Kluyveromyces lactis: one gene and its partner. The protein of the gene in region 2 interacts with the protein of the main gene of each other region in a biochemical or structural test. Links are inferred from orthologs where the notes say so. Each region holds a gene or a part of one and is shown on either strand. Other genes may lie near its edges. The genes, in order: MEK1 and RAD54.

Evidence for each region.
Region 1: of the proteins of RAD54 (region 2) and MEK1, one has a biochemical effect on the other in vitro, tested with the Saccharomyces cerevisiae proteins (2 studies listed by BioGRID). The link is inferred for Kluyveromyces lactis from reciprocal best matches to the Saccharomyces cerevisiae genes RAD54 and MEK1.

Annotation. Positions count from the first base shown.
Region 1 is NC_006042.1:2,198,067-2,201,735, forward strand, and holds MEK1 (serine/threonine protein kinase MEK1), read right to left. Parts: upstream 2,001-3,669; coding exon 537-2,000; downstream 1-536. Other genes in the region: KLLA0_F23485g (uncharacterized protein), read right to left, coding at 1-126; KLLA0_F23529g (uncharacterized protein), read left to right, coding at 2,880-3,669. UniProt on the Saccharomyces cerevisiae protein: Probable protein kinase required for meiotic recombination.
Region 2 is NC_006037.1:271,165-275,437, forward strand, and holds RAD54 (DNA-dependent ATPase RAD54), read right to left. Parts: upstream 3,040-4,273; coding exon 352-3,039; downstream 1-351. Other genes in the region: CUP2 (Cup2p), read left to right, coding at 1-92. UniProt on the Saccharomyces cerevisiae protein: Plays an essential role in homologous recombination (HR) which is a major pathway for repairing DNA double-strand breaks (DSBs), single-stranded DNA (ssDNA) gaps, and stalled or collapsed replication forks.

The DNA of each region.
Region 1 (3,669 bases), on a different chromosome or scaffold from region 2:
CCCACGATCTCGCAATAACTCTTCATCCAAGGTTTCTCTTAACAAAGAGAGATATGATTGATCGTATGAAGAAGAAGCAACTTTTTGTTTAGAGATCGCACTGCTTATTGATTTTACCTTATTCATGACGCAAATGCACAAACCTCACACAACAAATTTGGTAAACAGTAATGTTTTGCTGGCTGAGGGCTTACAATTGTGTAAAAAATAAGTCGAATGTTAGTGAAGATGGCAGTGAAAAGAAACAAAGAGCGGCTCAGTGCAATACAAAAAGCATAACTGGAAAGTGCCTTAATTCTTTGGATGTCGTCTTAAGTTAATTTTTTTTGTATTGCCAACTGTATTTGATATATGAGAGAAAAACAAAAAAAAATGAAAGCGATGAGCATAGAAAATATTGGACGGATAAATCAAGAAACAAAACACTATGACACGAAAAGAGCGTGTAACAAAGAGAGTATCTTCACCAATGGCACTTTATGTATATATAAACAAACAGATTCAAAGCTGACCAACTTTTTAATAGCAGCGTCACATTAAATATTGTTTGAAAAAAGTTTCAATCGTTTGTTAGGGTTTTTTTCGGGGGAAAGTTTGACACTTTTCGGTAGTTTATGTTTTACAACAGCAAAGGTATCAATGTTCTCATCAATTTTTATGCAATCAGAGCTTAACTGTAAAACTTTCTTTTTGTATATTCTTTCCAATTGACTAGTATGTTTTTCCACCCAAACCTGATGTAAAGCTTCTTCCACATCACATCTATTAAAAGTAGAAACTTGTAGACATTTCTTAACAAAACTCTTGGCACTATCTGTGATAGCAATCCATTGTCTAGCAGTAAAATTTAGTTTTCCAGTTCTAACATTTTTGATGATGCTTGCTTCAGATCCATCACCATAAAAAGGGGAAATCCCAGTGAGCATGATGTGTGTTATGACGCCGAGGGACCAAATATCGCACTTGGAATCATAGCCGTTGTTGTCTGGATCTAAGGTAGCAGTTCTACTGAACGATCGATAAATATTACGATCGGCTTTGAATCCCACTTCTGGTGCACAATATTCCGGAGTACCGACCACAGTATGCATTCTTTCTTTTGTATTTTGAGATAATTCTTTTGCAATACCAAAATCTGCAAGAACAACCTTAGTACATGGTTCTGGGGTATGCAAGAGGATATTGTCCAACTTCAAATCCCTGTGAACGATGCCGTTTGAATGTAAGAACTTCAAAGCTAAGAGAATCTGATATATGATTATCAACGATTCTGTTTCAGAAATCGGAACTAAGCAATCGCCTTTTGCCAAATAAGAGAAGAGATCACCTCCCGATATAAGATCCTGAAAAATGTATACATTGCCAAGGGCATCAACACAAGATTGATGAATACGAATAATATTTGGATGATTCAATTTTTCAAGAATGGTGGCTTCTTTCACCATCCTAGTCTTTGCAGTGTTGATAACTTTTACAGCATATGAAACAGTCTTTTTAGCAACTTGTCTTTTCATATTGTGGTCCACTTTTTCTGCTACCAAGACATGTCCAAAAGTTCCTGAGCCCACTATACGCGGCACAATTTTCCATCGATCCCATTCCGATTTAATTCTCAACCCAGTCATAAACTGTGACATCGTTTCGCTTTTCACTGCAGAGAACTTAAATTTTGCCCCGTTTGGTAATTGAATCACGTCTTGGTTGGATAACAAGTATGGGACGTCTCTGGATAAGACCTGCTCATTGACCATCGTCCCATTCAATGACATATCCTTTATGTAGCAAAGTGGAACGCTCTCGGGATCAAATCTGATGCCCCATAGCACACAGTGAATGTTCGAAACAGAAGGATGTTCAACAGAGTAAATACACTCCTCAGTGTTCCGTCCAAGTTTCAATACCTTATTAATTTCAATTTGGAAATGATTTACGATGAACTGCGGCGAGGAGTCCAGCTCGCTCTCCAAATCGACTTCCAATACTCCCAAAACTTTGTCCATTTTTTTAGCCTCCGTCTATCCAATATAGTGGGAACTATTCCAACAGAGGGAGAAGTGGCTAATGAGGCTCCTCTTAAGGATCTGAGACTGCCATGCTGTATGTTTATATAGATGCCAGATGTGCGCGGCTAAAATGAAACGACAAAAAAGCGAATATTAAGAAAACAAACAACCAATTCATTACCCGGCAAGCAAAGAAGAATGGCCCACGTGAAACAAAATTGCAATCCGATGACATAATCACAATATGCACCACGTGACTCTAAGATCCTCTTGAGCACAATTCAAAAGAAACACATACCGCAAGTAACCCCACTTCCCATATCGTTCAACGTCCTCTCCAACCTCTATCCTCTACATGCAAGCACAGGCGCTCAAACACCACCATGTTGCTCGCTAACAACTTCTAACCCTCTCATAACCCTTCATTAATTGTCACTGGGAACGTTCCAGTCAGCAATGTTTGCCTGAACTTCCCCTCTGTATTTCGAAAAAGTACTCACGAACTCTACGTACTCCATTCATCACGGCCCTCGAAGAAGCTTTTTTCCCTGCAAAACAGTAAAGAAAGAAAAAGAAAAAGCCATGAAAAACTATTATGGGAATTACTCACAGTCAAGTTCTGGCGATACTTTTTTCTGGCGATGCTGAAATATTGAAAAACTGAAAAATTCTGAATCGAGTGAAAAATTTCGGCAAAAAGACGTGATGTGATGAGCCATGTCTTATATATATATATATGCACCAGAACAGTCTTTGTCTGGTGAGATTTTAGGACACGGAGTTTGTGCAGTTGATTCATAGGATAGCTATTTAGGGGAGACATTAAGCTACTGTTCCAAAGGTGATACGACCAGGCAACCATACCCCATATTGAGTATGATATTCAGGAACACCGTTGTGCGTTTAGCACAGGCTGGGAAAAAAGCTATTCCTCCAGTGAAACTAGCGTACAAGAATATGCTAAAAGATCCATCGACGAAATATAGACCATACCCACAGATCAACTTGGAAAATAGACAATGGCCTTCGAAGACCATCACCAAGGCTCCTAGGTGGCTTTCTACCGATCTAAGAGACGGGAATCAATCTTTACCAGATCCTATGTCTGTCGAGCAGAAGAAGGAATATTTCCATAAGTTGATTGAGATTGGTTTCAAAGAAATTGAGGTCTCATTCCCATCTGCGTCGCAAACAGATTTCGACTTCACAAGATACGCTGTTGAAAACGCCCCAGAAGATGTTTCCATTCAATGTCTTGTTCAATCGAGAGAACATTTGATTAGAAGAACAGTTGAAGCTTTGCATGGTGCTAAGAAAGCCACCATCCATACGTATTTGGCCACCTCCGACATGTTCCGTGACATTGTGTTCAACATGTCCCAAGAAGAAGCTATTGCTAAAGCTGTGGAAGCCACCAAGTTAGTTAGGAAATTGACCAAGGATGATCCTTCGCAAAGTGCTACACAATGGACTTACCAGTTCTCTCCAGAATGTTTCAGTGATACACCTGTAGAATTTGCTGTTGAGATCTGTGAAGCCGTAAAGGCTGCTTGGGAACCAACTGAGGAAAACCCAATCATTTTCAACCTACCTGCTACCGTCGAAGTCGCTACTCCAAACATTTACGCTGATCAAATTGAATACTTTTCAACTCACATATCTGAAC
Region 2 (4,273 bases):
TCAGTGGCACTAGTGAAGGTAATAACCCCTCTCCTAACGACCTGTTCCCCGTTGAATTCGCAGACATTGATGATTTGATGACACACTTATAATTCTTAAACTACCTTATTCTAGGGTAAGTACATATGTTCATGTAACTCTATTCAAACATACTCGTAATAAAATTAGCTTTAATATGGAAATCCATATTCAAACTGTATTTATATAAATTAGGATCGGCTCAAAGATCTCGAAAACTTGAGTTGCCTCTTCATATTAACCGAGTTATCTGTTCCGAACCGCCCAGAAACCGAATTTATTAATGCGTCTATATAGTAGTGAAATTAAAATGTACTTTAAAAAAATGAAAGATCAATGCGATATATATTGAAATGCAAAACTGATGTCTTTGTGATTGAATTCATTTTTCAAGAGATGGTCGTTTGTTTTTGCTAATGCATCGTGATTCAAATGATTCCACGAAGTCGCGTCACCGTATAGCATTACCGGAGCTTTCAAAATTTGCTTTCCATTCTTACAGCGTTTACAATTATATGTCTCATGGGTATCACATATGGTTTTTGTATCAAGTTTGAACAATTGCTTCAAATTATCCGAACTGAACAATCGTTCAACATCCTCCTTTTCATCCACAACACATGAACTCAAACTCATCTTCATCGATTGTCTTTGGAAAATCTTCTCTTCAATGGTACCAGTACTAATGAATCTGTAGATAAAACAATCTTTCTTTTGCCCATCTCTCCAAACTCTAGCCAAAGCTTGTTGATCTGCAGCCGGGTTCCAATCTGGATCTAATAAAATCAATCTGTTGGCACCAATCAAGTTTATACCGCAACCACCGGCCTTGGAACTTAACAAAAATATAAACTCTTGTCCCTCCGGATCATTGAACCGGTCCACTAACTTTTGTCTTTTATTGATGTTCATGGTACCATCCAATCTCAATACGCCATAGTGGTTACTAAAACACATTTTTTCAATCAAGTCTAGCGTCTGGGTATAGTTTGAAATCAACACAATCTTGTCGTTAGACTCCGTTTTAATTTTGTACAAAAATCTTGCCAAGACCGAAAACTTACTGGAAAAAGCTGTCTGAATAACGCTTCTATTTCTTGAAGTGCGGGAGTCAACAGAAGATTGATAATCGTCGGGTATTAACTCTTCTGAACCCGGAATGTCTTCAGATAGCTCTAATAAGTCTGGATGGTTACATAATTTTTTTAACAAACCGATTGCCTTCAACGGTTGGTTACTATCCCCTTTAACGATCTTCTTAACAGCTCTTGATTCAATGAAATGCTGATATAGAGATTGCTGAAATGGTGTTAAATTTATGAATATAACATGCTCGTATTTGCAAGGTAGATATTTTGCCAAAATATTGTTGGTACGCCTGATAATGAACTTCGAGACAATGTTTGAAAGTTGTCTCAACCTATCCTTACCCAAAGTGACCTCTTCATCTGTAGCCAATGAATCTCTACTCTGTAAAATCGGTAATTCGAAGTTTTTCCTAAAGTCATTTCTGGAACCCAACAATCCGGGATTTGAGAAATTTAATAATGCAAAATACTCCGATAAATCATTTTGAATCGGAGTTCCCGATAGAATAACTCTTCTCGGACACCTAATGGAATCCAATGCCGTGAATGTTAAGGAATCTGCATTCTTCAAACGATGCCCCTCATCTGCTAACATTAGTCCAACCTCACAGTTCTTTAACTGTTCGACATTACGCCTTAAAGTGTCATAAGAAATGATGAGGACAGGTTTGACGATATTTCTACCTTGAGCTGAAGCCCAATGACTCACTGAATCCGCCACATTTCCATTATTTAGACTGGACTTTTTACCGTCAATAGCCAATGAAGAAAGAGAACCTGGTCCCAACCATTTGTCAATTTCATTTGCCCAATTGTTGACTAAAGATGATGGACACACAATAATACATTTATCAATTGATCTCCTACCTTGCGGACCTTGTTTCAACATGGTCCACATTAACGCTAAGCATTGTAATGTCTTACCCAATCCCATTTCATCTGCCATAATACACCCATAGGCTCCCCTGTTTCTAGAATTTTCATTGATTTTAATAACGTCTTTAAGGGACGAGACATCAGTTTCAACCGGTGATTTCGAACCTGTTATGTTAGAATCAGCTTGTGTATCAGCTTTTTCCATTGATTGAGAGCTTGAGTCCAACACTGTTTTGGCATCCAAAAAGTCTTTCATGACTAAACCAGTAACACATCTATACAAAAATCTAACACCCTCAACTTGATGCGGTCTTAAAATCTTAGCCAATTTGGGATCAATCACAACTGGTACGTTGGGGAACTTTTTTGATGTATTATCTTCAGAAGATCCTAATAGCTCTTTTAGGGTTTTATTCTTCACACCGTTGGATAGCATTTTAGGGTGATGAATTGATGGAGCAGAATTGGGCGAAGATTCCTTTGCTTTCTGGTCTTGCGACTCTGAATCCTTCCCCTTTTGAGACTTCTTAGTGTCTACTGCATTTTGTCTAAACGATTCCAAATCTTCATGCTGCTCAGGGATATCACCGTCCACTGTAGGATCATAAAGAACGATGGCAAGCTCGTCTGTCGGATCATGCAACGGTCTTGGTGGTATAACAACTTTTGCCTTGGTTCCCAAAGCCATCGGAATATTGTGCCTTGGAACGTACCCCTTGATCGGTACGGTAAATGACCGTCTTAATGTTGAATATATTGTATCCAGTCTTGATGGCTCTGCATTCAATCTGGATAAAGATAGTGCATCTTTCCTTTTAACGTGCAAATCAGAATCTAAGGAAGAATCCATATTTGCATAAGTCGTTTGAGATCTTCTTGAAGATCTCACTCCATATCGTTTGGCATGGTCGGTTTTATTAACTTTAAACGGAACTTTGAAAGGTTTCGTTAACGTTTCCAGTGCTTGGTTAGTGTCCAACCTTCTTGGTCTCAAATTTGGACGAGCTCCAGCACCGATCCCGTTTGGCGGTCTGTCTGGTAACCTCCGGCGTGCCATAGTCTTTCGGTAAATGAAACGATGGTATATCCCCTGGTGTTAAGTGTGTACATTAAAGTAAGACTAGGGCATTATAATCATTCACCATGTTAATCATTTTAGTAATGTATTTTATGTTTTGTAAATAAAGATGATGATGAGATTTCAGTTGAGGCAAACACGAAAACGCGTGGTGGCAAAAAATCAAAAACGTAAACATTGCTGAAAAGGAAAAATACAAGAAAGCATTACCCTGACATTCACGTGAACGTTAACCAAAACAAAAGATTACCTCCGAAATCGTAAATTCCATTGAAGTTACCCTACCACATTAATGATGGACAAGCCTCAAGGAACGAGCGCACTTCCACAAATTTCGGAGCCCCTCACCCAGTTTTCCTTCGATATCATTTTGTTGCTAGGCAAGACATTGTATTCAGACCACTCCGAAAAAAAAGAAAAAGAAGTCAGTCACCTGATACAAAATCACATTAAACTCCCAAAAACTCCGAAAAGGGTAACCTCCAGCGTTCTTAGTATAATCTCGCATACGTCTCCAACAACCCCATGTGGGTAGCGATAATTTCCCAACACGCCAACTCTTGACAACTATTAGGAGCCAACGGACATGTACCTCCGATTCTCTCAATTACATCTTTGATAATAGTGCTCGGTTGTTAAATCACTTACAAACTTTTTTTTTTAAAGAGGAGGGGAAAGGGGGTTTGTTCCTTTATTGGAGACAGATTCGGATTCCTTCGGCAAAACTTTCAATGTAAATAGAGAGGTGGTGAGGAGTAAAAAAGAAATCTTGATAGATATCAAAGAAAAACACGCTCACATAATATTCTAACTACTTAGGGTCTCAAAACTGGAAATTGTCGGAGCTTCTTATGTTTCTGCTAATCGAATCTCCATTAAAGTTTCTCTCCTCATAAGGGGGAGTTAAAACAGATGGGAGTACCATTTCGGTACTCCAAGCAAACTCCTTAGCTTCGTATTTACATTGCCAGGCGTAGAAAACTGGAAGGACTTCTCTATTATGTTCATTTTTCGTTCTTTTTGAAAAAAAAAAAAAAGACAGTTTCTCCGATTTAGAGCTAGAAAGCGTTGTAGTGGAGGCAAGATTCTCAAAAAGTTTTTCCATTCTAATCTAACGGGGAACCAGTTTTTGGTGCCAACCGATTTGTTTCTAGTTAGAGTGACGACTGTGGTTACGAATTTTTGGCCAGATGGAACAGAGCTTTATCTTGCC